Linked DNA regions of Saccharomyces cerevisiae S288C. The protein of the gene in region 1 binds, or shares a complex with, the protein of each later gene. Each region holds a gene or a part of one and is shown in the gene's direction. Other genes may lie near its edges.

What was found.
Region 2: the proteins of USE1 (region 1) and SEC20 are in contact, whole or in part, in a cryo-EM structure (PDB 8EKI), measured with the Saccharomyces cerevisiae proteins. Residues at the interface, in NP_011417.1 of Saccharomyces cerevisiae: Asn23 (codon at 4,958), Arg26 (codon at 4,967), Arg27 (codon at 4,970), Val30 (codon at 4,979), Thr31 (codon at 4,982), Gln33 (codon at 4,988), Leu34 (codon at 4,991), Gly35 (codon at 4,994), Ser37 (codon at 5,000), Asp39 (codon at 5,006), Phe46 (codon at 5,027), Gln50 (codon at 5,039), Gln54 (codon at 5,051), Phe58 (codon at 5,063), Gln62 (codon at 5,075), His65 (codon at 5,084), Asp66 (codon at 5,087), Lys69 (codon at 5,096), Ile70 (codon at 5,099); in NP_010786.3 of Saccharomyces cerevisiae: Asp14 (codon at 4,090), Leu17 (codon at 4,099), Asn18 (codon at 4,102), Leu20 (codon at 4,108), Gln21 (codon at 4,111), Cys104 (codon at 4,360), Leu107 (codon at 4,369), Ile109 (codon at 4,375), Val110 (codon at 4,378), Leu112 (codon at 4,384), Lys114 (codon at 4,390), Tyr121 (codon at 4,411), Val125 (codon at 4,423), Glu126 (codon at 4,426), Leu128 (codon at 4,432), Asp129 (codon at 4,435), Leu132 (codon at 4,444), Gln133 (codon at 4,447), Asp136 (codon at 4,456), Trp137 (codon at 4,459), Tyr139 (codon at 4,465), Cys140 (codon at 4,468), Tyr141 (codon at 4,471), Lys144 (codon at 4,480).
Region 3: USE1 (region 1) and SFT1 share a complex: the UniProt entries of both Saccharomyces cerevisiae proteins name them as parts of the SNARE complex.
Region 4: USE1 (region 1) and BET1 share a complex: the UniProt entries of both Saccharomyces cerevisiae proteins name them as parts of the SNARE complex.

Annotation. Positions count from the first base shown.
Region 1 is NC_001139.9:312,451-320,710, forward strand, and holds USE1 (SNAP receptor USE1), read left to right. Parts: upstream 1-4,891; coding exon 4,892-5,629; downstream 5,630-8,260. Other genes in the region: YGK1 (5'-deoxynucleotidase), read left to right, coding at 1-390; SEH1 (Seh1p), read left to right, coding at 784-1,833; ribosome biogenesis GTPase LSG1, read left to right, coding at 2,181-4,103. UniProt on the Saccharomyces cerevisiae protein: SNARE required for targeting and fusion of Golgi-derived retrograde transport vesicles with the ER.
Region 2 is NC_001136.10:1,442,622-1,451,044, reverse strand, and holds SEC20 (Sec20p), read left to right. Parts: upstream 1-4,050; coding exon 4,051-5,202; downstream 5,203-8,423. Other genes in the region: 60S ribosomal protein eL37 RPL37B, read left to right, coding at 192-198, 588-847; LCD1 (Lcd1p), read right to left, coding at 972-3,215; myo-inositol transporter ITR1, read left to right, coding at 5,578-7,332; PUF6 (Puf6p), read left to right, coding at 7,642-8,423. UniProt on the Saccharomyces cerevisiae protein: SNARE required for targeting and fusion of Golgi-derived retrograde transport vesicles with the ER.
Region 3 is NC_001143.9:428,674-432,363, reverse strand, and holds SFT1 (Sft1p), read left to right. Parts: upstream 1-1,731; coding exon 1,732-1,767; intron 1,768-1,908; coding exon 1,909-2,166; downstream 2,167-3,690. Other genes in the region: 60S ribosomal protein eL14 RPL14A, read right to left, coding at 330-458; CAP1 (Cap1p), read right to left, coding at 2,256-3,062. UniProt on the Saccharomyces cerevisiae protein: Vesicle SNARE required for retrograde transport within the Golgi complex.
Region 4 is NC_001141.2:345,110-353,184, reverse strand, and holds BET1 (Bet1p), read left to right. Parts: upstream 1-4,679; coding exon 4,680-4,690; intron 4,691-4,821; coding exon 4,822-5,239; downstream 5,240-8,075. Other genes in the region: phosphoinositide 5-phosphatase INP51, read left to right, coding at 1-2,594; CMI7 (Cmi7p), read right to left, coding at 2,675-2,884; iron-sulfur cluster assembly protein CFD1, read right to left, coding at 3,182-4,063; protein disulfide isomerase EPS1, read right to left, coding at 5,388-7,493; YIA6 (NAD+ transporter), read right to left, coding at 8,002-8,075. UniProt on the Saccharomyces cerevisiae protein: SNARE required for targeting and fusion of ER-derived transport vesicles with the Golgi complex.

The DNA of each region.
Region 1 (8,260 bases):
CTTGTTCACGATTTTGCGGAGTCATTAGTTGGTGATATTACACCTAATGACCCAATGACAAAGGAAGAGAAACATCGCAGAGAATTTGAAACTGTCAAGTATCTCTGTGAAAGCATAATAAGGCCCTGCAGTGAAAGCGCATCTAGGGAAATTCTTGATGACTGGTTAGCATACGAAAAGCAGACCTGTTTGGAAGGAAGATATGTCAAAGATATTGATAAGTATGAAATGTTGGTTCAATGTTTTGAGTACGAACAAAAGTATAATGGCAAGAAGGATTTGAAACAATTTTTGGGAGCCATCAATGATATAAAAACTGATGAAGTTAAAAAATGGACACAATCTTTACTGGAAGATCGACAAGCCTTTTTCGACAGTTTGAAGGAGTAATAATGTGGCCTTTTGAAAGAAAAGTTAGTGCTTTTTTTTCTTTTCTCAAACCTTCACCTGGTGGTGCGTATCATTTATAATAACATCTTGATGCTTTTCAACGAGATAGTGCCCATTTTATTTTGCATGTATTATACTTCCAGCACCCGGTGTGCATTATATGTAACTTTAGAAATAATCTTTTGTATATTATTCGCGATTGAATGTGCGTGCTGCATTATCAACCAAGTTTTAATATATCTGTTTCTCTTATTTATTGTTAGTTAAGTCTTCGGCAAAACGATGGAAAAAATCATGAACTGAATAGAGACAAGTAAACCAAATTATAAACAAGGTTTCCCTTCTGAAGAGATACTAAGGAAGAAGAAGAACGACCCAATAATATTTCTGAATATGCAACCATTTGATAGTGGGCATGATGATTTAGTTCATGATGTCGTTTATGACTTTTACGGAAGACATGTGGCAACATGCTCTTCTGATCAACATATTAAAGTTTTTAAATTAGACAAGGACACGAGTAATTGGGAACTCAGTGACTCATGGAGAGCTCACGACAGTAGTATCGTGGCCATTGATTGGGCCAGTCCAGAATATGGGCGCATCATTGCTTCAGCCTCTTACGATAAGACGGTAAAATTATGGGAAGAAGATCCCGACCAAGAAGAATGCTCTGGCCGTCGTTGGAACAAGCTGTGTACCCTGAATGATTCCAAAGGATCACTTTATAGTGTAAAATTTGCGCCAGCGCATTTGGGCTTAAAATTAGCTTGTTTGGGTAACGATGGAATCCTCAGACTTTATGATGCCTTAGAACCTTCTGACCTAAGGTCATGGACACTGACTTCTGAGATGAAAGTGCTATCTATACCACCAGCAAATCATTTACAGTCTGATTTTTGTCTCTCTTGGTGTCCTTCGAGATTTTCTCCTGAAAAGCTCGCAGTCTCTGCATTGGAACAAGCGATTATATACCAAAGGGGTAAAGACGGTAAACTTCACGTTGCAGCAAAACTTCCCGGTCATAAAAGTTTAATAAGAAGTATCAGCTGGGCTCCTTCCATTGGTAGATGGTATCAACTCATTGCAACAGGTTGCAAAGATGGTAGAATTAGAATTTTCAAAATCACAGAAAAACTAAGTCCCCTGGCCTCAGAGGAGTCTTTAACTAACTCAAATATGTTTGATAATAGTGCTGATGTTGACATGGATGCACAGGGCAGATCAGACTCAAATACCGAAGAGAAAGCTGAGCTACAATCAAACTTGCAAGTTGAACTTCTAAGCGAGCATGATGACCATAATGGCGAAGTTTGGTCCGTGTCTTGGAATTTAACGGGTACAATCTTAAGCAGTGCTGGGGATGATGGGAAGGTACGTTTATGGAAAGCCACTTATTCAAATGAATTTAAGTGTATGTCAGTAATTACTGCCCAACAATAAATAAGAATATATGTATACATAACATTATATATTGGTACTTTATACGTGTGCATTATTCTGTATAATACGAGGCAACAGATGAATCAAGAAAGATGATGCTTTTAAAAAGCTCTTACAAATATAATGATATTACATCAAATGATATTATTATTCTTGATATTGGGTATTCTTTCGAATTATATCAAGCTTCCCTTCCCTCGCCTTTTCGCCTGGAAATTTTTCAATGCCGAGATTAAAAAATTTGTCAATGAAAATGCATTCTACTACTTAATAAAGAGGTGATGAGCTTATAAGCCAACTTCTTTTAAACACAAAACTAAATCTGATATTGAGGACCCCCACCAACTATGCCACCAAAAGAAGCTCCCAAGAAATGGAAGGCGCCAAAAGGGCCAAAACCTACCCACCGTAAAAATAAAAATAAGCTTGAATTAGGCAGAGCTATTAAATATGCACGTCAAAAAGAAAATGCCATCGAGTATTTACCTGATGGTGAAATGAGGTTCACTACCGATAAGCATGAGGCCAACTGGGTTAAATTAAGATCTGTAACTCAAGAATCAGCTTTAGATGAATTCTTGAGTACAGCTGCACTGGCAGACAAAGATTTCACGGCCGATAGACATTCAAATGTTAAAATTATTAGAATGGATAGCGGTAATGATTCTGCGACATCTCAAGGGTTTTCTATGACTAATGAGCAGCGTGGAAATCTTAATGCGAAGCAAAGAGCGCTTGCTAAGGATTTGATTGTTCCAAGGAGGCCTGAATGGAACGAGGGCATGTCCAAGTTTCAGCTTGATAGGCAAGAAAAGGAAGCGTTTTTAGAATGGAGAAGAAAATTGGCACATTTACAAGAAAGCAATGAAGACTTGTTGTTAACACCGTTTGAAAGAAATATCGAAGTTTGGAAACAGTTATGGAGAGTTGTTGAAAGATCAGATTTAGTTGTTCAAATTGTAGATGCGAGGAATCCGTTGCTGTTTAGATCTGTCGATTTAGAAAGATATGTAAAAGAGTCAGATGACAGAAAAGCAAACTTACTGCTAGTTAATAAAGCAGATTTATTGACCAAAAAGCAACGTATCGCTTGGGCAAAGTACTTTATCTCCAAGAATATTTCGTTCACGTTTTACTCTGCATTGAGAGCTAATCAATTATTGGAGAAACAAAAGGAAATGGGGGAAGATTATAGAGAACAAGATTTCGAGGAAGCTGATAAAGAAGGGTTCGATGCTGATGAAAAAGTTATGGAAAAAGTTAAAATTCTGTCCATTGACCAACTGGAAGAATTGTTTTTATCAAAAGCTCCAAACGAGCCTTTATTGCCACCTCTGCCCGGTCAACCTCCACTGATTAATATTGGTTTGGTTGGTTATCCAAATGTAGGTAAATCCTCCACTATTAATTCGCTCGTGGGTGCCAAGAAAGTTTCTGTTTCATCCACGCCTGGTAAAACAAAACACTTCCAAACTATTAAGTTATCTGATTCTGTCATGCTTTGTGACTGTCCCGGTCTTGTCTTCCCAAACTTTGCATATAACAAGGGTGAGCTCGTGTGTAATGGTGTTTTACCTATTGATCAATTACGTGATTATATTGGTCCAGCAGGTTTAGTAGCAGAAAGAATACCAAAGTATTACATTGAAGCGATTTATGGTATCCATATTCAAACCAAATCAAGGGATGAAGGTGGGAATGGGGATATACCAACTGCTCAAGAATTGTTAGTCGCATACGCCAGAGCTCGTGGTTATATGACTCAAGGTTACGGTTCTGCTGATGAACCAAGAGCAAGTCGTTATATATTGAAAGATTACGTCAATGGGAAATTACTGTATGTCAACCCTCCGCCCCATCTAGAGGATGATACACCTTACACTAGAGAAGAGTGTGAAGAATTTAACAAAGATTTATATGTGTTCGACAGATTACCGGACACCAGAAAGGAGCAAGTGCAAAATGCTGCTAAGGCTAAAGGCATTGATATCGTGGATTTAGCTCGTGATTTGAATCAGCTAACGTTTTCAGCTCACACTGGTGGTGACACACAAAAAGAAGCCAAATCTGTTACGCACGGTGGTAAACAAGCTGCATTGTACAATGCCGCTGAGGACTTGGATAGAGACTTCTTCAAGATGAACAACGTCGAAGGTAGATTAAGTACACCATTCCACAAAGTTCAAAATAGTTCAGCTGGTAAGAGACATAACAAAAAAAACAAAAGTAAAAATGCGAAAAGCAAAGTTTTTAGCATTGAAAATAATTAGCGGTAACTAACATATATCTTCTCAAAAAAACTGTGTACTATTATCTTTTCATCTCGCCAATTAATGACAGCGTTATTTGAGAATAGACCTAAGATAATAAAACTATGTTCGTTACCCGGACAAATTTTCTTGGAAGAATTTTTGAGTCCTAGAGATATTATAAAACGGCCCTCTATTAATTTGCTCTTTCTTTCCTCAGTTTAATTCTTCTTTCGAATAAAAAATAAAAATATCATGGCTCTTCAACACATTTCAACATGTTCAAGTAATTTGTGTTAGTGGATGACCATTTAGGGGCTGCTGGCCTGGTTACCGGGAGTTTTTCTTGGATCCAAGCTAGCTTTTCCGTCTGATTATCCTTAAGCTTCACAAATTACAATTTTTCCCACGCATTAAGAAATAAGCTCAAGATGCCTAAAATAAGTTCTATCCCGCCTTTTTTCGCTAACAATGACTGAGTATTCCCACAGTCTATAGTTTGATAGTAGATGGGCGGAAATTTTTCTCATATATTTACTTTTTATAGGAGAGTATATTTACGTACGTATAGTGATTGCATGTAGTTGCTCCCTATATCTTGTCATATGAGCGTGATACTGACCGATACCTGTTACAGATGTCGGTCTGGATTTGTTCGTTTTTCTTCCCTAAAGTAGGTCAGTATATATAAAATATGGCCGGAGGAAAGCTTCACCACTTTATCACCACTAAATTTATAAAGTAGAATACAATTTCAACATACACAGAGAATAAAAAAAGGTTGACAGGACACATAATAGCAAGGCAAGATGGCTGAAACTTCCAACGACCCCTTTCTGTCCTACGTTTTGAGTAGCAAACAATTAACTAATTTGAATCGTCTACGAAGGAAAGCAGTTACAAAACAACTGGGATCAAGTGACGACAATAAGGTCTCAGAGGAGTTTTTGAGGTATCAACATACTTATCAAAGAGAAGCATTTGAATATCTGCAAACAAAACATGACGCCCACAAAATAATGGAGTCACAGTACGAACAGTACCAAAGCAGTTCAAAAACAAGAAGATATAGTATCGATTTAGATTCTGTAGATGCAGTTGACACGGAATCGCAAACAGAATACCCAAATGAGGAGTTTATTGATAGAAACGAAGATAGCGAAGCTGTTATGGAGTTGAGAAAGAGATTGTTGGGGAAGGGACAGAATAAGGGTTTAGGATATGAAACTACGAAATCAGTCGATAGGCAAATTGAGGACCAGGACACGTTGCAACAGGATTTGATTCAGGATATGAGCAAACTTGTGGGCAGTTTGAAGCAAGGAGCTGTGGCATTTCAATCAGCACTTGATGAAGATAAGCAAGTTCTTGGAGCTGCAGAGATAGGTATTCAAGTTGCTTCTCAAGGTTTAATGGATGTTAGCGGTAAATTAAGGAAATATGACAAGAGTAAATTGAGTTACTTGTTTTATATTACTGTTTTCATTTTTATGATTCTCGGACTGGTGTTTACATTTATCATAATTCAATTATTCCCGGCCCTATAATGTAATTATAACGATGGAATGATGTTTTTTGGAAGAAAAATTCAACTGTTTATTAATATTTACGGCATTTTTTCATGTAGTTGAGATTATTCCTATTGAAAAAAGCAAATTGTGAGAAAAAAGTATACAATAAAATTTGTATAGGCTGCAGAATTCTCCTTTCCGTATAGTTGCCTACTTCCCGTCTCAAACTGAATCCTGCTATCTGATTGCTTTCTGTGTTGGTGCGGTGAATCTTTTTATACATATAATATTTGAAAAAGAATAAACATTTGAGAAAACAAAAGTAGCTAAACAAAACGACAAAATCATAACATTTCCTGATCTGACTGAAAGCTAATAGAACAGCAGTGTTCGATGAGGGTAAAATAAGGAGGGGTCTTCGGTTACGTTATACTAGTAAGTTGATTTTGATTTTAAGTCATATTATTGAACGCATTATGATGATACTCATAATGGACTAAATTTTTCTCATGTATAAGGTCCATAGTAGCCAAGTGCATTCCATTACAATGTTATTGATATTATCTGTGCTCTCAAATTCGGCTGAAGAAAACTACTACAAACACAACACATCAAATAATGTAACACAGCCTTGCTTATTGCCGGTGTAAGGGTCGACTATCTTCGATCTACTCATATTCATATTATCAATTTATTATCATATATGGTATAAGAAAATGACATGAACATTGAGAAACAACCAATAGATTAATTGGAAGCTGAAATGCAAGGATTAATAACTTGATAAATGGAAGTTAAAAGATAGTATTAATGATGACTAAATATGGATTCTGTTATCCTTGTATAAGAGAAGTATAAAACAAACACCAATTGGTTTATTATTCTCTTTTCTTCAATTATAATCAGTACAATAATGGCTCCAGCAGCTGTCACATATTTTAATGATGATTTGCGCATATATAACAGAGATAGGTTTAAATAATTTAATAATTGTTGGGATTTCACAACTATTGAAGGCTATAATATTATGTATAAAGAATATACCAGGAAGTCAACTCCCAGACCTTGAAATCCTCAAAATGAAGACGATAGTTTTACATAATAATATTACTTTTTCTTCTTTCCTTCTATATTTCTCCTTCACATTCATATTACGCTGACAATCTTTGCATTTCAGCTTCCACCAAGCCTGATCACCGTTTACCAATATTTGTGTCATTTTCTTATACCTCAGGTAATAATAAACTAGCAACCTGAATAATATCAAATAGACGATATGTTAAAGTTTCATTCTAACAATTACCACCCATTCCAAAATATCTATTGTTAGAGAGGCGTTAATAGAACAACACAACACAAAAATACTGAAGGTCAAAGTTTGTTGTATTACGGGCTCGAGTAATACCGGAGTGTCTTGACAATCCTAATATAAACGGTCTTAGGGAAGTAACCAGTTGTCAAAACAGTTTATCAGATTAATTCACGGAATGTTACTTATCTTATATATTATATAAAATATGAATCATATTAAGTGGTGGAAGCGCGGAATCTCGGATCTAAACTAATTGTTCAGGCATTTATACTTTTGGTAGTTCAGCTAGGGAAGGACGGGTTTTATCTCATGTTGTTCGTTTTGTTATAAGGTTGTTTCATATGTGTTTTATGAACGTTTAGGATGACGTATTGTCATACTGACATATCTCATTTTGAGATACAACAAAGTTCATAAAGAAATTAGCCATCTTAGTATAGTGGTTAGTACACATCGTTGTGGCCGATGAAACCCTGGTTCGATTCTAGGAGATGGCATTTTTTCCGAAATTTCGCCTTCTCGCACAACTTTCCAAACCCGACCAAGAGAAGGAAGAAATCATTTTTTTTGTTGCGAGTTGTCATAGAACGAGGTCGAGAAACAGAAGAGGAATTGAAAATGAATTGTAAAAGCGTTCGTTCTATGCCTCTAATAAGAGAGTACGTCTTGCTTGATGTGAACCCAAATGCCCACAAAACAGTACGATTTGCAGTTATGTAAATTTGTGGTTTGTCTCCTGGCAAAAAGAATGCATTCGTACTGCACATAATTGAAATAAGGATGTAGTTCAACTTCTATGAATGCTCGGCGATACGATATGTAGAGGGGACAAAAATATGTAGGTATCCTATGGTAAATAAATCGGTCTGTTTTAAAACCTGTTTTAGTGCAGCTTCTTTCCACGAAAGAAATAGTGTAAGTTAGAGGTACTTCTCTTTTACCTAAAGGAGGTGTAGTTATGATAAAAAGCGAAGCTAACTAAGACAGCTAAGCTCTTTATGTTGATAGTTAAAAGTTAACAGGTTGTATTAATGAAGAATGAATATGGATCTTTTTGTACTTATATAACAGAGGTATAAACCACATGCCGATTGTTTCATTATTATATATGGCTAATATAATGGTGATTCCGGCAGCTTCATACATTTAATGTGACGACTCATATTGCTCTTATATGTGACTTTCAGATCTCATTCAATTAATAGACTCTTAACTCAAATTCAGTACTTTCTGACATGCTCATTTACATTTCCTTTTGTAATAGTGCTTCCATACTTCATCGTATAGGATTTAAACATTTAGATCGTTACCATAGTAACTCATGTTACTATTAAATACCGCTCGTTTCAACACAT
Region 2 (8,423 bases), on another chromosome or scaffold:
CAGTTTTTTTTTTCTTCAAGCACTCCGTACACCACTAATATTATCACTGAGAATCTTCCTGCCACTTGCGGGAAGGATGAGATTGGAAACATGGCTGGAATAGTAAGCATAGGTTACTATAGAAAGCGGTAACAAAAAGCACTACTATGTGTAGATAAAGAACAAAGAGGTAAACGAATATATAAGTAAAGATGGGTAGTATGTACAGGAATTATTAATTGATGAGTCAACGTTCAATCACATCCGGTCTGATTTAGAGGATTACATGAGAAAGAAGCACTGAAAAAATTTTCCACCAGGAGAGGCCAGGTAAACTAAGACCTACGTTATTCACTATGCCAAAAGATTTAAAAATATAGAATGATGAATGTTGCCAGAGCCATTGATGATAAGAAATTGCACATAACGGATGCATAAAGAGCGAATAAAAAGATTTGAGTGTCAATACAAAAAGGTGAGAAGAAATAGTGTAAGACAGCAACACACATCTAGACCGCCAATGAAGTTGTTCTGAATCCAGCAGTAGAGTTTATTTAGTTCAAAGTTTTACTAACGATAATTAACTTTTATGTTTTCATTTTAAACAGAGGGTACTCCTTCATTCGGTAAGCGTCACAACAAATCTCACACCTTGTGTAACAGATGTGGTCGTCGTTCTTTCCATGTTCAAAAGAAGACCTGTTCCTCTTGTGGTTACCCATCCGCTAAGACTAGATCTCACAACTGGGCTGCCAAGGCAAAGAGAAGACACACTACTGGTACCGGTAGAATGAGATATTTGAAGCATGTCTCCAGAAGATTTAAGAACGGTTTCCAAACCGGTTCTGCTAAGGCTACTTCTGCTTAAATTTGATATTATCTATAAGTTTTGTTCTTTCCTAAAACGAAAATAATATAAATTATATATAGTTAATATTAAGCATTACAAGGTTTCTATAAAGCGTTGACATTTTCCCCTTTTGATTGTTGCCTTACAGTCCCATTGAGATATATAATGAATCGGCCTCCTCTAGTGTGGTTAGATCGAATGATTTTGACTCAAGAATAGTTCTTGCCATTTCTTGAAATTTCTCATCGTACTTTACTTGCATTATTCTCCCCGTTCTTTTATTCAATTGCATCTTCAATTCTTCTTCGATATATTCTGGTAAATCCTCAAAGGCATCTTCGTAATAAGAGGCTTGATCCTTTATCGTCAGATCATGCAAACTATCTACAAGGTGTCGATGATCTCTCATTTCTCTTTCGTTTGCTGTCACAGTTTCGGTTTGGCATACGAGAAACCTCCATAGTGACATAATCAATTGGCTTTCTACCTGCTTGATTTGTTCTTCACGCAATTGTTTGAAATGGTCTTTCCATAGCCTATATATTATGGTTAAAGTATGTTCAATAAGATGGCATCTGAGGTCCAAGTTCGGGGAGTCTTGTCCCACGTACCTTTCTATCATTAACGCTTGCTCCCTGGATAAGAATTTAGAGGAGTGGATGAGCATTTCTCCATTTACTATGGTCGCATCGTCTCCATAGATCATTAATAAATTTTCAAAAATATTTAAAACTTCATCTTTTAACTTCAAAAGCCATTTTTCCATCTTGTAACCTATTATAGGGGCAGTGAATTTGTCGCTATCCATCCCAATATCCTCTTTAGAAATTACCCTTGGGACACTTTGCAATCGGTCAGTATAAATCAGCTTTGATATCAATCCTCCCAATTCATTATCACCTATATTTCGGATTAACCCAAAAAAGTCATGGTACTTCGACATATGAAGAGTTGTAGTATCCACATTTTCATTATATACGTCGCCACTCTTAATTTCCTTTTCCAAAAGAGCGTATAATCTTGTAATACAATCTCTCCACCAACTACCGCTTATCAAGGATTTCAGATCTGAGGAATTGTCCATATTTAATATTATACTAGTGATAATATTAACGACCTCGACTGCACTAAATATTACATTTACCATTGGCTTGTATGAAATGGTTAGTGCTAGTTTGTAGACAAATTCAAATGATTTTAGAATATTTTCATCAAAAAATTCCATATAAGTTTGCTTAGGATGCGACTGCAGTACCCTTAATATACCTTCTAGGAGATCAAAGGAATACGAAATTATCAAATAGTCTATCAGTTCATATTGGAAAATCTGAGGTTCTACATGCAAATTCATATTTGATTCATGTATCGGTACTTTCAATACATGATGATAGATTCTTATTAAATCGCAAATAAAAAGAAAACAATCCTTCAGTGCTAAATTATGAGTGGCACTAGGACGAAATTGTACAATCTGATACATCAATGCAACGAGAAATGGGACAGCTAATTTCGATTCATTTGGATGAACTGATATTTCCTTGATCAAAACAGCTATATCCTCTAGCAAAGTATCTATGAACCTGTCGAGGGTCAACGTCTTTTTACATCGCAAAAGTAGAGAAACTATGGACTTCCCTATGGGGGCTCCTTTAGCAATGACGAAATTCTTAAATTTAAACTCTGTGATGTAGTCAAGCTTCAATCTATTTAATATTTCTATTGTGCTCAGGTCAGCGCCTATTATTTGATGAAGTAATATTGACTCTAGAAATAAACTCGTTTCATCGGGAATAATCCTATTTGGGTTTAGGGGAACCATATTTTTTTTCAGTAAATTATCACTTATCTTACGTTTTTTTGATTGTGGTGATTGAGGTTTTGCTTCGATTGCAACTGAGGACGAATCTGGCGTTATAGTGTTTGTGTTTGTTGATAATGTTGTTGACGGTGGTTTTACATTCGTAATAACTTCCCTTTTCGATTTTCCTCTCGCTTCCATCTGTAAGAACTTCTTCTCATCTTCCAGTTTCTGTAATTCTTGTTTTAATTTAGCCAACTCTTGAAGATGCTTGACTTGCAATTCATTAACTTTGACGGCTTGAATATTCTTTTCCTTTTCCCTTTCAATGTTCAAAAAGTTTATTTTATCACGAAGCATGCTTGCTTCACCTTGAGCTTTATTCAGTTGGTTAACCAGTTGGTTATCATTTTTACTCTGTTTATTGTTTAATGTGGTCGTTGTAACCTCCAAAGTAGTGGGAATTTGTGTTTGTAATGCTGCTGATGATGGCGGTATTTGAGTAAACCTTGGAGGCCTGGTGCCTAATTCCAAAAGAATATCATCATCGTCATCTGAAGAAAATTCACCCACCGTTTCTCGTCTCATCTATAATAGAAATATGCAAAAGAGTTTGATGATTGTGTTGACGTTTCGTGCACTATCGCGTATTTGTTTGCTTTTTATTTTATTGCATGTGCTGTTTTCCCCAAAAAATCGATGGAACGCTCGGATTTGGCTAGAGGCGGGAAAAATCACCAATAATCGAAGAAAATAGAAGAACCAAGATACTAATAGCTCTTTGTAAGATAAATTTTGGAGTTACTACAGGTTACTATCCTTATTCAGAGACTTTTTACTGCTTTGCTCCTAATATTTAGTAGGAAAGAGCGAGCCTGTCTGACTCTTTTTTTTTTAAAAAAATTCAAGGTAAAACCTAACTAAACATAAAATTTCCACTCGAGTTATTCCGCTTAAAAGTGCTTAACATCGGTGCCACACAATACGAACCTTAGTAGAGAACCGACCGTTACCTCTTTATTAGCCCTAGTTTGTACCACTTAAGCTCTAATTCCAATCTAATGTGTGTGTATTTTTTTCTATTGTTAGCGCCGCACCAAAGAGGATCATGGTAAATACAATTACATAAAGAAAAGAAAAGCAACAAAACAGCTTCGTTTGCACCTTTAGCAAACGTTGGAATTTTCCTAATCTCAAAACAAGTGGTAAATCTAATCCCACACTAAAGAAAGCACGTCTTTACCAGTGACTTTATCAATAAATCACCTGCACACGCTGTCCGGGTAAATAGAATTGTTACTAAATAATGAAAAATACATTCGCAGTTGTAAAAATGCCAACAGAAATACCTGATATACAGTTAACAAGTAAGATCGGATCACGCTGCCAAGGCGCATAACAAACTATAAAGCCATTAAAGATTATGGTCGTGACATTTTTGCAGGACCTGGAAGTTTTGCAAGATGCATTATTAAATAATTTGCAAAAATTAAGTGCAATCTCCCGCAGAAAAGAAAGCGGAGAAAGCAAGCATGATAATAAGGACAGTTTTGCAGCCATTGCCAACGAACACAATGATGAAGAAGAAGAGATTGAATTTGAGGATTTGGTGAATATTATAGAGAGCAAAGTTTCAGATTTCGAATCGGTACTGAAATGTAGTATTGTGGAAATGACCTACAAATACCCCGAATTAAAATTACAGTGGGAAAAAAGCCCTAGATACGATCAATGCGATAAGTTGCATATTGTGAAGCTTGATAAACAAATGAACGAGGACATATATGCTCAGTTGGTCGAAGAACTGGATTTCGTGTTGCAATTCGTCGATTGGTTCTATTGCTACCGCCTGAAAGTCAAAGAGATTCTACGACAACACCACAAACGTGACTTAGCTTGGAACGACGAGAAAAGAGACCGCGCTATAAAATTTCACGCTGTGGATTACGACAAGCTTCACCAAGGAACGTCGTCATCGTCAAGCTTAACGTCCACATCGATGGAAAAAGCCAGCACTAGAGAGAAGCTTTTGAGCAAAACAAAACAACTGACGAATAACTTGGTGAGAGGAAATCAAATTTTGCAGTCCGGAATTTTACAAAGTGACCTGAATTTGGATGAATTGAGAGCCCAAACCAATTCCTTAACACAAATCGATGACAAGTACACTCAATTCGAAACCGTCTTCAAGAAAACTGCCGATTTGGTCAAAGTACTGGAAAATGCCTCCCATCAAGAGAAACGAGATGTCTATTTATCACTTGGGTTCCTCCTATGCTGCGTCTCGTGGGTTCTATGGCGTCGTATTTTCAAGTTACCTGTTAAACTCGGCCTCTGGCTGCTATTCAAGTTTTTCAAGGGTATACTCGTCACCCTAGGTCTAGTTAAAAGCTATGCAGGCTCCTCGTCCTCTCTTCAAGCACCCAGTCTTGTGCTAAATGCACCCATTCTAGCCACTACAACTACATCCTCAGCAACCTCTGTGGAACCATTCGCATCTGTATCAGCCGTCAGTAGTATCCAGCGGGCTGTCGATGAGGCCGTGGACAGGATCGTCTCACATGATGAGCTATGATAATTTTAACATCTATATAACATAATAAGCGCATATACTTAGTTCTCTCCATCCTCTCCATTTATTTTCTCTCACCATTGTTTCTGTTCTCTTCACATGCGTTAGGTATAGCTTATACCCCCCACTGGTTGCGCTAAATACGCCTTCCCCACCGCATGTGAAAAAAGCTCGACCAAGCTCAACGCGCTGTTGCAAAATGGAAAAAATATAAAAGGAATCAAGCCATAGTTGAGAAAAGACCTTTCACACTTGGGCTTTTCTTTGGCAGGTGTTTGCTCTATTCTTCTCTTTCAGTTTGGTGCGCTATTCAGATTTATTGGTCGTCCTACTGTATACATCTCTTTCATTTTCTTTGTTTCTGCAGTGGGTGTTAAAATGGGAATACACATACCATATCTCACGTCAAAGACATCGCAATCAAATGTTGGTGATGCCGTTGGCAACGCTGATAGTGTAGAGTTCAACAGTGAGCATGACTCACCTTCAAAGAGAGGTAAAATTACACTTGAGTCACATGAAATACAGAGGGCTCCCGCTAGCGATGATGAAGATAGGATTCAAATTAAACCCGTGAACGACGAGGATGACACGTCGGTCATGATCACTTTTAACCAATCTCTTTCGCCCTTCATCATCACTCTGACTTTTGTCGCATCCATATCCGGTTTCATGTTTGGTTACGACACTGGTTATATATCCAGTGCGCTGATCTCGATCGGCACAGATCTGGACCACAAGGTACTTACTTATGGGGAGAAGGAAATTGTCACTGCGGCTACCTCTCTGGGAGCTTTGATTACCAGTATTTTCGCCGGTACTGCAGCTGACATATTTGGTAGGAAACGTTGTTTAATGGGTTCGAATCTGATGTTTGTCATTGGCGCAATCTTACAGGTCTCCGCACACACATTCTGGCAAATGGCTGTTGGTAGACTGATCATGGGTTTCGGTGTCGGTATCGGCTCCTTGATCGCGCCACTTTTCATCAGTGAAATTGCTCCCAAAATGATCAGAGGGAGACTAACTGTCATCAATTCCTTATGGTTGACTGGTGGTCAATTAGTCGCTTACGGTTGCGGTGCTGGGTTAAACTACGTCAACAATGGTTGGAGAATTCTTGTTGGATTGTCACTAATTCCCACTGCTGTGCAATTCACATGCCTGTGCTTTTTACCTGACACTCCAAGATACTACGTTATGAAGGGCGACTTGGCAAGGGCTACTGAGGTGTTGAAGAGAAGTTACACTGACACTTCGGAGGAAATCATTGAACGTAAGGTGGAAGAACTTGTTACTTTGAATCAATCTATTCCTGGTAAGAATGTCCCTGAAAAAGTCTGGAATACCATCAAAGAATTGCACACAGTACCATCTAATCTAAGGGCTTTGATCATTGGTTGTGGTTTACAAGCAATTCAACAGTTTACCGGTTGGAATTCGTTGATGTATTTCTCTGGTACCATCTTCGAAACTGTCGGTTTCAAAAATTCTTCCGCTGTTTCAATCATCGTGTCCGGTACCAATTTTATTTTCACTTTAGTTGCCTTTTTTTCCATTGACAAAATAGGCCGTAGAACCATATTATTGATTGGATTACCAGGCATGACCATGGCTTTAGTCGTGTGCTCTATTGCTTTCCATTTTCTAGGTATTAAGTTTGATGGCGCTGTCGCTGTGGTGGTTTCCTCCGGTTTCTCCTCTTGGGGTATTGTGATCATCGTATTTATTATCGTATTTGCTGCGTTCTACGCTCTTGGTATCGGTACTGTTCCATGGCAACAATCGGAACTATTCCCCCAAAACGTGAGAGGTATTGGGACTTCATATGCAACTGCTACAAACTGGGCTGGTTCACTGGTTATTGCATCCACATTTTTGACCATGTTACAGAATATCACTCCTGCAGGTACATTTGCCTTTTTCGCGGGATTGTCGTGCTTATCAACCATTTTCTGCTACTTCTGTTATCCAGAATTATCGGGATTGGAGTTAGAAGAGGTACAAACTATTTTGAAGGACGGGTTCAACATCAAAGCCTCGAAAGCTTTGGCCAAGAAGAGAAAACAGCAAGTTGCCAGAGTTCATGAATTGAAATATGAACCAACTCAAGAGATTATAGAGGATATATAGTCCTTTCACGAGGTAAAAGGAAGGAGACGCAATTGAATATTCAAATACATAGTAGAAAATAAATAAAAATAAATTACAAGATAGAAAAAAGTTCATTGTATTTAAGTCGAACTAATTGTTGTATGCATATATAGAAGATTAACTAACCCGGCATTGAAGACCTTTTTTTTTTTTCACCTTGAGAGAAATACTGAAAATTTTTTTTGCTGGGATGAGATGAGATGCCTACCTAAAGTATTTCGAAGGTGAAAGCGTTTTATTATAGAGTACTGAAATAAAGCACAATCAGGAATAACAAATTAACTGACAATGGCACCTTTAACCAAGAAGACAAACGGAAAACGTTCTGCTAAAGAAGTTAGTCATTCAGAAAAGAAATTAGCCAAAAAACCTAGAATTTCTATTGATTCGTCTGATGAAGAATCAGAACTATCCAAAAAGGAAGATGCTGTATCCTCTTCATCAGATGATGATGATTTGGATGATTTAAGTACCAGTGACTCTGAAGCAGAAGAAGAAGCTGACGAATTAGATATTTCCGATGACAGTGAGGAACATGAAAATGAGAATGAAGAGAAAGAAGGAAAGGACAAATCTGAAGGAGGTGAAAATGGAAATCACACTGAACAAAGAAAACTGCTAAAAGAAAGGAAAATGCAAAGAAAATCTGGTACCCAAGTGCAACAAATTAAATCCGTCTGGGAAAGATTGCGTGTGAAGACCCCACCTTTACCAAAACAGATTCGTGAAAAACTTTCCAACGAAATCTGGGAGCTATCTAAGGACTGTATCAGTGATCTTGTCTTAAAGCATGATGCTTCCCGTATTGTTCAAACTTTAGTCAAGTATTCGTCCAAAGATCGTCGTGAACAAATTGTCGATGCTTTAAAGGGAAAATTTTATGTTCTAGCCACATCTGCGTACGGTAAGTATCTATTGGTTAAGTTACTGCATTATGGTTCAAGAAGTTCAAGGCAAACTATAATAAATGAATTACACGGTTCTTTGAGAAAATTAATGAGACATCGTGAGGGTGCCTACGTTGTTGAAGATTTATTTGTTCTTTATGCCACACATGAACAAAGACAACA
Region 3 (3,690 bases), on another chromosome or scaffold:
AAACGATGGAAGGCATGGTTTAATATTTGAGGAAACATGGTCAGGCTCTTTAAGAATTAACTGCGCAAATATGGGTCATCACCTTTCTGAAACTAGGTAAGCTGCTAGCAAAATAAATAAATAATCCACTATAGGCCACTCCAACAGGGAAATAAAGACTTTTTTGTATCTCTATCGCAATGTGTATTTTCACATTTACTTATCGTTTACAAGTAGCTTCATCCATGGTAACGGATTGGATATTTGCCAGCACTTTTTCGTAGCCTAAATCTCATTCCTCGTTCATTTCCCTCCTCAAATCGATGATAGGTTTTCCGGATTTAACATACCTTCTTTTGGTCAATAATTTCGACGATAGCGGCCAATTTACCTGCGGATTGACCCTTCTTGATCAAAACCACACGGCCAACTTCGACTAATCTCCAGTTAGAAGCCTTGACAATAGAATCGGTGGACATTGTTTATTTTATTTTTCACGACTCTCTTTGTTCACTAAGACAAACAATTAAATTTGTTATACAATCGGCAGACCTGATCAACTTAACCTTAGATTACTTTTTTTTCAGTTCAATAGTACTCGACGAGTACGAAGGGCAGTCCACTGAAAGCTCTACGCTCTCTCCGTTGCCAATTGGGCTGAGAATGGAAACACTGCGCGCTGAAGGGAAACCCGATTATGGAAAAATGCACGCAGCTGCAAGCAGCAATCTCTCGTAAACCGCTCTTTTCCGGGCGGAAAGTTAGGCCGACACCTGTTTGAAGCTTCATAAAATGCAAAATCGAAAAAAAATTGATAACGGACACTCAAAATTTGATATTTCACACATATTATGTATGTGATGTCAAGATGTAAAAATAGTGTATGGGTGTATTTGCGCTGTCAATTATTTTACTCAGAGTATAGTTACATTCTGGCAAGAATTTGCTGGTTTTGTCTTTTTTTACTTCACAACTAATGCTGGATTTTTTTATTTAAACCTAATTTCTTCAGTGAACTCCAATGTGTATTCATGTTTGATTTTAAAAGCTTCAATTTTAAAAGCTTCAATTTTAAATATCCGATGACTGTTAATCGCAGCTGCTAGTGAGATGACTGACAAAAGGTTCAGTAGAAACATAAAATATATAACAAATGTGTTGAGAATGATAGTATGATACAGTGGTATCATATTTCGTTCCTATTTGAGGTACCAGTAGTTCTTATCAAGAAGATTCAATGAGAAAGGTAACTGAATGATGATATAATTTGCGATCTAGGGCTAATCACTTGGAACACCGCCATGTTCTATATGGGTGATTAGCGAAGTGCGAAAAATTTTTTATCTGATATTTTCCTTGAACAATATTTCTAATAACACTTGCGTTGTTGCAACTGGCAGATTAACCATGTTGCTCAATATTCCTTCCTTGTATATGGGAGAACATCTTGAGGCAATGTTTAGAATTTAAAAATGTGTGCTCCCTTAAACTACGCTACTCAGAAAGGATCTTCGTGTGTACGGTAACTGACCAATGAATATTGTGCGGTAAGTATCTTATGTTTCTTGTTGCTGAATGTACGGTTCATGCAGTAAATTAGCTACTCTAGTTTTCTTGTTATTGCAAGAAGCCGCGCATTGCTACATGCAGAAAAAAAAAGAGGAAATAATATAAGGTATATCATTAAGAAGGATACTGGAAGAACTCAACAAGGAGAGAACGGTAGAAAGGTAATATATAATCATCATAGCGATGTCAAATTCTAGGTATTCTCAGACCGAATCAAACGTATGTAAATCACCGGCAACACGCATAGGTGTTTAGAATGGGACCTAGCTTGCTATATGGATGTTATAAGCTACTAACTATTGCTTCTGTACACCGGATGAGCAGATGTATCATCCCTTCATGTACATGTACTTTAAACAGAATGATAGGAAACTAGAGGGGTTAGCCAATAAATTAGCTACATTCAGAAACATAAACCAAGAGATTGGAGACCGAGCGGTCTCTGACAGTTCTGTCATAAACCAAATGACAGATTCATTGGGATCGATGTTTACCGATATCAAAAATTCGTCCTCAAGGTTAACCCGATCATTAAAGGCTGGTAATAGCATATGGAGAATGGTGGGTTTGGCGTTATTAATATTCTTCATTCTATATACCCTGTTTAAGTTATTTTAGTGAGCCAATCAAGCCAAAAATAAATAATGTACATAGATGTATTCAATTTAAGAAATAGGAAGAGAATGGAATAAGGCAGGCATGAAATTTCATTTGCCTTCTGCCGCATTCTTACCCAATCTATAACTGCCAATCGCACTACCCCAGTTAATTTTGGATCTCGTGACTGGTAATCTTCTTCTTAAGGCCTTAAACTGTTTTTCGTTCAAGTCGAAAAATGAAAGATCTAGATCATTTTCGAAATTCGTCTCAATATCCCTTATTGTGCAAACAACGTCATCAACGTTAGATTGATTGATATCCTTCCCAGATTGGAAACTAACGTTACCGTCTTCGTAATAGTGGACTTGCGTAGAGATTTGACCGGATAACTCCCTGGTCTCCAAATCGTAGATGTAGCTTGATCTCCAATGGCCGTTCCAGAAATTGTTTGGATTATATTTGGTGCTAACAATAATAATAGAAATTTTACTTATTTCCTCAGGGACTGGGTAAACAGCAAAACTGACATCACCTGGAAAGCTCTGAAGAAGATATTCGTGCAATTTATCGTGCAGTTCTTTCAATTGCCCTTTCTCTATCTTTGCATGCGTGAACTCATATGGTTCAATGTCAAGGCCCTTGCGCTCTAAATGGTTAACTGAAAATATTACGGAATTTACGGGATCAAAAAACTTTGCTCCTTCCTTGTTGTATTTGGAAATAATTACAGAGTTCCCGTTGACTTCTATAGGGATGCAATTCTGCACGTTGTAATTCTCAATAGCATCCAAAATAGTATTTTTGGAGTTTTCACTTGTGATCTTGATTAGATCGTCGTATACTTCCCTTAATTCTCCTGGAGGGCTGTCATTGATGATCTTGTTGATGACCTCTTCGAATTTACTACTAGACATTTTCTGTCGCTCTTATGATCCGTTGGATTAACGGTCTGAATAGTACCTTACAGTTGCTAACACCTTCCTATACTCAAATCCAGTACTAGCCACTGTAAAATCAGTATTCCAATAGGAAGAAAAAGGGGATCATAACCCGGCTATCGTATCACATGATAGTCACGTGCAGTGATTATCACGTGATCCGAACTGTTGTGAAAAAACGCGACGCGAAAAAAAAAATGCTGGGCTTCAACAGGAAAAAGACCAGGAATGAAAAATAGTTGGAAAGGAAACAACTGTCTTTTCCGGTCATTCCAACAAAGTTGCTAGATCCGCGGAACCATTTTCGTCATTTTTTTTTTTTCACTCTTTTTTCTCATATCGGTGGGCATTGTACCTGATCATGCTAGACAAATAACGTGGGAGGAGGGAGAAAGTATTGGAATCTAGACAAAGATTTTTAAGTTATTTTTCTATTGTTTCCCTCCTTGGCTTGTTGCATCCCGTTTTGTTTTATTTACTTGCTTTTTTTTTTTCTTATTTATTTATTTATTTATTTATTGTTATTTGGCTATTGTATTCCGTGAACCCGTTTTTCTGCTACATCGGCTTTATAATCCGGACCTGATTTAAGTTAAAACTACAG
Region 4 (8,075 bases), on another chromosome or scaffold:
ATGTTGCCGTCATATCTGGTGTTCAGAATGTTGGGTTTCCTCGATGGAAACTGATAGATCATCAAGTTAGGCCTTCGGAGAGCATTTATAAAGTATTGGATGTTGACTTTTACAGCTTAGAAAATGATGTTTTCGACTACCTCCTCTGCGAGAGATCAGAGCAAAACTATGATAAATTGATTCATGAGCATCCTTGCGGCCCCCTGAAAAAACTGTTTAGTGATGGAACATTCTACTATTCTAGAGATTTCGACATCTCTAATATCGTGAAAAACCATGGTTTATCACATAACTTAGAATATACCGTAGATAATCAAGATTTATCATTTATTTGGAATGCTAACTTAGCAAGTGAGGTAATCAACTGGAGAAGCAAGATTTCAAATGAGGAGAAACAACTTTTTGCCAACGCAGGGTTCTTAACATTTGTAATTCGGGGTTATTGCAAGACAGCATTAATAGAAGACGGCCCAAATACAGCCTCTATAACCATTATTTCCAGAATTTCGACTGAGAGCAAGCAGGATACGCTAGAATTGGAGGGTATTAGTGAAGATGGGAGAGTGTCGCTATTTGTTGAGACAGAAATTGTAGTAACCACAGAAAAGTTTATTTTTTCTTATACTCAAGTGAACGGAAGCATTCCTCTTTTTTGGGAATCTGTAGAAAGTCAACTGTTGTATGGAAAAAAAATTAAGGTAACAAAAGATTCTATTGAAGCTCAGGGAGCTTTTGACAGGCATTTTGATAATTTAACCTCAAAGTATGGTGTTGTGAGTATCGTTAATATCATAAAACCTAAAAGCGAATCACAAGAAAAGTTAGCACTGACGTACAAGGATTGTGCTGAATCAAAGGGAATAAAAATAACAAATATAGAATACAGCTCAAGCGTTCTGACAAAGTCTCCCCACAAATTACTTTATTTATTAAAACAGGATATTTACGAGTTTGGAGCGTTTGCCTATGATATCTCTAGGGGCATCTACTTTGCAAAACAAACGGGGGTATTAAGAATAAGCGCATTTGATTCAATTGAAAAACCTAACACAGTTGAAAGGTTAGTGAGCAAGGAGGTACTTGAATTAACCACAAATGAAATTGATGTATTTGAATTGACTTCCCCATTCTTGGACGCACATGATAAGCTATGGTCAGAAAACTATTACTGGCTTGATCGAACGTATACTAAGCACACGAAGAATTCTGGTAAATATACAAAGGTTTATTCGAAGTTATTTGGTTCCCGAGTTAGATTATACGACCCGCTCCATATCTACATCTCTCAGTATTTAAAGCAATTAAGGTCAAAATATACGTTTGAGAAAGACATCTCAATTTTTGCAGGTACATTTAATATAAGTGGTAAAATTCCAAAAGATGATATAAAAGATTGGATATTTCCAAAATCAATGTCCAAGGAGGATGAAATGGCTGATCTTTATGTTATCGGATTAGAAGAAGTGGTAGAACTTACCCCAGGTCATATGCTTGCTACCGATCCATATGTCCGACAATTTTGGGAGAAGAAGATATTAACACTATTAAATGGGCCCGGACGCAAAAAAAAATATATCCGTTTATGGAGTACACAGTTGGGTGGTATTTTACTATTATTATTCATGAATGAAACGGAATATTCCAAGGTAAAGCATATTGAGGGGGATGTTAAAAAAACCGGGTTTGGAGGAATGGCTTCTAATAAAGGAGCTGTCGCGGTTAGTTTTAAATACTCAGCTACAAGATTTTGCGTACTAGTATCTCATTTAGCGGCAGGCTTAGAAAATGTTGAACAAAGGCATAATGATTATAAGACGATTGCGAAAAGCATACGATTTTCTAAAGGATTACGAATAAAGGATCACGATGCAATTATTTGGATGGGCGATTTCAATTACAGAATATTGATGTCAAACGAAGATGTTAGACGAAAAATTGTTTCTAAAGAATATGCCAGCCTATTTGAAAAGGATCAACTTAATCAACAAATGATCGCAGGTGAGTCTTTTCCATATTTCCATGAAATGGCGATTGATTTCCCACCTACCTATAAATTCGACCCAGGAACTAAAAACTACGACACGAGCGAAAAAATGAGAATACCAGCATGGACTGATAGGATTTTAAGTAGGGGAGAAGTACTAGAACAGTTAGAATATAAATGCTGTGAAGATATACTATTTTCCGATCATCGGCCCGTATATGCCATATTTAGGGCTAGAGTGACTGTAGTGGATGAACAAAAAAAGACTACTTTGGGTACGCAAATCTACGAGAAGATTATGGAAAGGCTAGAGGGATTGGATGATGATGAGAAAATTGCAGTTTTGAGTGATGATGCATTTGTTATCGAAAGTTTTGAGGGCAGTGATTCGATAGCTGGCCCTACGCATTCTCCGACACCAATTCCCGAGCCCAAAAGAGGTAGAAAGTTACCACCACCTAGTTCGGATTTAAAAAAATGGTGGATTGGAAGTGGGAAGCAAGTTAAAGTAGTTCTTGACGTAGACCCGGCCGTTTACATGATTAATCCTAAAAGAGATCCCAATCCATTCGTTGAGAACGAAGATGAGCCACTTTTTATAGAAAGGTAAGTAAATGATCATTAGTGAAAAGATTATATATAAATATATTTATTTAGCGTTCCTTCCCTATGCGGCTGTGAGCGTACTCTCTATTTTTGGCTGGAACTTTTTGCCAAATCATTGTTGTCCCTGTGTAGATCTTCTAACTGAACTAACAGAGAGTCCATTTTCTTTTCCATTTCATCCAACTTAAGTTCGACTTCCGAGATTTTCTCTTCTCCTCCTTTTAGTAGGTTCAAAACATCTAAAATATCCTTTGCGCCTGCAGTACTGACATCTTCGGGTGTATCACGAGTCATATTATTGACGACGAGTGAAGTGTTCTGCGATTTCTCTAGAGTAATTGATTCAGTTGCTCTTTCTCAAAATTGTGTGATTAAATATTATTTCTTTGTCAATATTTACCCGGCCTTTTAAATTTGTATCACCACTTGAAGAACATGCTGCAGTTGCCGGTTAGCTTCTAACCACCTTTCGATATAGGAATCGAAATAGGAATCGAAATTTATTTCTAGGCCCAAGGATCAAAATATAAGTGTATATAAACACACACACACACATATATATATATATACGTACATGCATAGGAGAGGATCTTATTTTGGAGATTCTATCTGGGGTTGCTCGTGTTTATCCACAACAGGGGTTGTAGTGTCTTGTTTCCTCAGTTTCTTCATTATTTCTTCAAAAATGGGACAAAGAGATGATTCTCTGTACATTTCTACAAGCGTTTTTTTACTTGAAACTTGATTCTCAATCATTTCTACAAATTTTGGATCTATAGGAACGTTACCAAGGTATGGGACAGAAAATTGCTCCGATAATCTTTTACCACCCCCACTGGAAAAGATATTTGTACACTCAGCACAATGCGGGCATACAAACCCTGACATGTTTTCAATTATACCGAGGATCTTTAAATCGACCTTCTTGCAGAAATTGATTTCTTTTTTGACATCAGCTGTTGCAACACTCTGTGGGGTAGTTACTACAATACCACCATCTGGTTTGGAATATCTCAGCTCCTCTGCAATCGATATATGTTCATCCGACGTTCCCGGAGGGGTATCGATCAGTAAGTAATCCAGTTCACCCCAGGCGACGTCAGAGATGAATTGTTTTATCATAGAAGTCTTCTTAGGACCCCTCCATATCACGCTGTTCCCTCTATCACCTAGTAGAAACCCCAATGATATTACACTAAGAGAGCCAGTAGAGTTTGTCTCCACTTTCACAGGTTGCCAACCTTCAGGACCTTGATATATAGATTCGTTCTCTAGGCCAAACATCCTCGGTAAGGATGGCCCTGTTAAATCAATATCTAAAACTCCAACTTTGAAGCCCATACTGCAAAGAGTCAGCGCAGTCTGTGTCGTTACCGAACTTTTACCGACACCACCTTTTCCGGAAAGGATCAATATGATATGTTTTATTCCTGCCAAAGAGGCCGCAGGAACGCCTATCTCCTGTTCCTCCATGCTTAATTGTAATAGTCGTATTAGTTTTGGGTGCTCCTCGACGCATGTGTATAGTTTTCATTTTGATGGTGTAAAACGTTCATGACTAATGAAGCCTTCCGATTTCTTTCCATTTTGCTATTACTTGCGCGATGAGCCGTCTAATGTGATTCTTCCAAATAATATCTAATAAACCCATGGTGTTTACTCTGTGATAGGAACCAAAGATCCCGTAATTATCGCTTTGTAATTGTATTTCCAGTTATTTCTGTACATTCTAGGTTACTGTTCAGGGATATGTTTCACTCTTATCGATGTGGCGTGCAAAAAATTTGAAGGGGCGACATATCAGGGAAAGTATTAGTGATTTTTTATAATGTTGCACTATCTCAGATGAAATTTATGCATGCTAATTGGCGGATACTACTCTACCGTTGTTGCAAGCTACGTAGGAACGTTCACGGCTCTTTCTTCCATTAATTTTAAATTGCGAAAGTATCCAGTAGTTGTTAAAAATGGAGTTTTTTCAACTCGCGCCTTTTGCCAAGGAATGGTAGAAAACAAACAGTAGTTCACTTGAGACTGTGAATGTGTTAGAAAATGTGATTGAAGAGCCTCACAACACTAGGCTACACAGATGAGTTCAAGGTATGAGAAATTATTAGACTATTCTAAAGTTAGAGTAGCGCTTTTTGTTAAACATCTACCATAACACCTCGATATTGGGAGTTATTGACCACGAGTGAACTTCGTTTACTAACTATAGCGTGTGTATATAGATTTGCAGGGGGAAACGCTTATCAACGTGATACTGGTAGAACACAGTTATTCGGACCGGCTGATGGATCAAATAGTCTCGATGACAATGTATCATCAGCGCTAGGGAGCACAGATAAATTAGACTACTCCCAAAGTACTTTGGCATCTCTTGAATCTCAAAGTGAGGAACAGATGGGAGCTATGGGTCAGAGAATAAAAGCACTCAAGTCATTATCGTTGAAGATGGGTGATGAGATTAGAGGCAGCAATCAAACTATTGACCAGCTTGGTGATACTTTCCATAACACTTCTGTAAAACTCAAAAGGACTTTTGGAAACATGATGGAGATGGCCAGAAGATCTGGGATCAGTATAAAAACATGGTTAATAATATTTTTTATGGTAGGCGTGCTATTTTTTTGGGTATGGATTACATAAATATTTGCATATTGTACATTAAACCTAAGTGACAAAATAAGAGCGACGTTTGTTAGATGATTGTAGATATTGATACGTGAAATAAAGGATAGTTATGATAGCATCATAAGATATCAGCATTCTTTTATTTTTATAACTACTTAAGCGTTTAATCTTGATTTTTTTTTTTCTCCATATTTCCTAGGATACCGACAGCGTTCCTTTTCGCCCTATAGTGTTTCCTTACTTTGTATCTTCTGTAAATAGATGGACCTTTGAGTATTGCGATAAACAAAACAATAACAATTAAGTAACCGGGCATGCCGTTCCCGTGGATTATGTCTAGGAAACTGAGGACATTATGGAATGGAGAATTTATCAATCTCCCCTTCAACTTAGAGCTGTATAGAGCTTTTGATGGAATATTTAAGGACACGAATGCTTCTCTCAGCAATTGAGGGTTGTTAGAAGTCAAGGAGTTGCCAAAATTATCTTTATTGTAGTAGTAATTATTTGATTTATCAATGATAATCACATCACCAATTTTATATTCTCCAGTAATACCATATTTTCTAAAAAAATTCTTCTCCTTTGAAATATCTAAATATCCTAATAACAATTTTTTTTGATCCATATGGGGAATCTCTTCACGCATTTTATCAACAATTTTGTTAGCCGGAGCCTTTTTTTCCTTTATTTTCTTGATCCCGTCTGCTTTCCTTGCCCTTCTCTCATTAATTTCTTCGAAGTTATTTTCCATCCGAATATGTTCATACTCCCAACTTGCGAGGAGCAAGTTTTTAATAAGCTTGTTGCTTCCTTTGATATGTTTGTGGTCAGTGCTACTTATTAACTGAATTGCTAAATCACTGTAGCTCTTGGTTTGGAAGGAAATTAATTTTTTCAAATTAGAAGAGTCAACTTCGGTAACTAAGGGATTAGAATACTTTTTTACCCAATCCATAATGGCATCAATATTTCTCATTTCTGTTGTGGAGTATCCGGGGAAAACATAGGATATGGGATCACCATCTTTAAACATGAAAAAAGTTGGGAGTTGCGTAACCGTATTCATAGTAAAGTATTCTTTGTTAAAAACCTTTTGAGTTTGGCTGGCGTCGTAGTTGATCTTTTCATACATTCTTCCAAAAAGATTACGTGACAAATTTATTAGATTCTTGTCAATTTGGTGCAAATATATGTTTGGAATTTTTGACAAAGGCTCGATTAAATACTCCAAAATGTCAAAATCTTCAATAACAACAGTTTCGGGGTCATATGAAAAAACTAAATGGATATCATTATTAGTTACTCGTCCCCTTTCTTGCAGAAAATCAATGTCTCTGTTTGCTTTTTTTTCGAGCTCCCCTTCTGTTATATTGGGAAATTTACTGTTTGTAAAAGTCCTCCTGGCAAAATCTACATAGCCATCTGACTTCGCTGAGTAGCCATTGGGATAGTCGAACAAATTATTTGAGGTTTTATTGGGTAGGACTAATGCTACCTTGGGTTCTCTATCGGCTCTGTGGTTGGTTATTTTCACCAAGTCGCCAAAGCCCAGTTCTTCACAGATTGTTGGATTAGATTCGCAATTAACGTGGCCCGTGTTGATATCATCCACGGCTAACTGTCTTGAAATGATCTTCCAAGTCCTTTGGAATTCATGGCATTTGTCACAGTTTTTGAATTCTAGTGAATCATCGCTATTTTTCATATCTTTTGTTGGCCAGAAGGAAACCAAATGTGGCCTAGTCGCCTTACCAGCGATCAGCTCGAGAAAATCAAAGCCTTCGAGATACTGGCTCTCACTTTTAGCAGAATCCAGATCAGTATCGAGGTTATTTGGGTCCATAGACTCCCTGCGTGCAAATGCAATTAATGATTCTTTGGTCCTCGGTGTTTCAGTGAACGATTTGATGTATCCTGAGGGGTTATAAAGTCTAATTTCAGGGAAGTATTCAATATTTTCATCTCCACACAAATCGGCGCTCTCGATGCAGTTAACCTGTGAAAATGTTATGTTCAGTGTTTTGCTCTCCTCTTTAAACTCCTCCCATGTTTCCATCCAAACAGGTGCTAAATGTTTGCAGTGCGGACAGTATGGACTATAGAAGTCAATAATATGCAGCCCCTTAGATAGCTCTTCTTTGAAGTTTGTTGGATTTAAGGGCTCTGGAAAGCCCTCTGGTGGTTCAGCGGCGGCTATAGTGAATTTCAGCAGAAAGGTGATGCATGAGAAGAAGGTAACTACGAGCCTTTTCAGATTCATTTTCATGGCTGCTGCCTTACAGCTAGTTTTTATAGATAGTATTTTTCTTTCCTGGATAGAATTTCTTGAGGAAAATAAATAAGGAAATGAGTATCAACACGAGGAACAGTACAGGCGCCTTCTTAGTGCTATGATCTTCACTGGTTTATGCTTTACGTCTTTATCGCACTAAATTGAAGCCATTCATTTGTTCGCACCTATTTCCGCTTCAAAAATAGTATTTAAAAAAGAGACTATTTTGGTAAGGATAAGCTAAAATAGTGCCAAGAAAACGGCCAATGTAGAATATTGTCAAGACTATGAAAATGTATAAGTATATTTTGTCTATAGAATCATGTGGGTGTATATAATGTGTGCGCAAAGCATTTGGTGGGCTGTTCGATGCAAATCCTTTTAGTATTAGGAAAAGAGAGGCTTACCTTATTTGGTATATTTACAAGCTGTAATACCTAAAATATTAGCGCAGGCATATTCATAGCACACTCAATGTGTGGCGTGTGTGAATTTTAAGGCTTTAAATTACCATAGTGCTAATATTTTCTAGGCGGTTTCTGAAATACTCAAAGGACACTAGAGTGATTGCCGAGG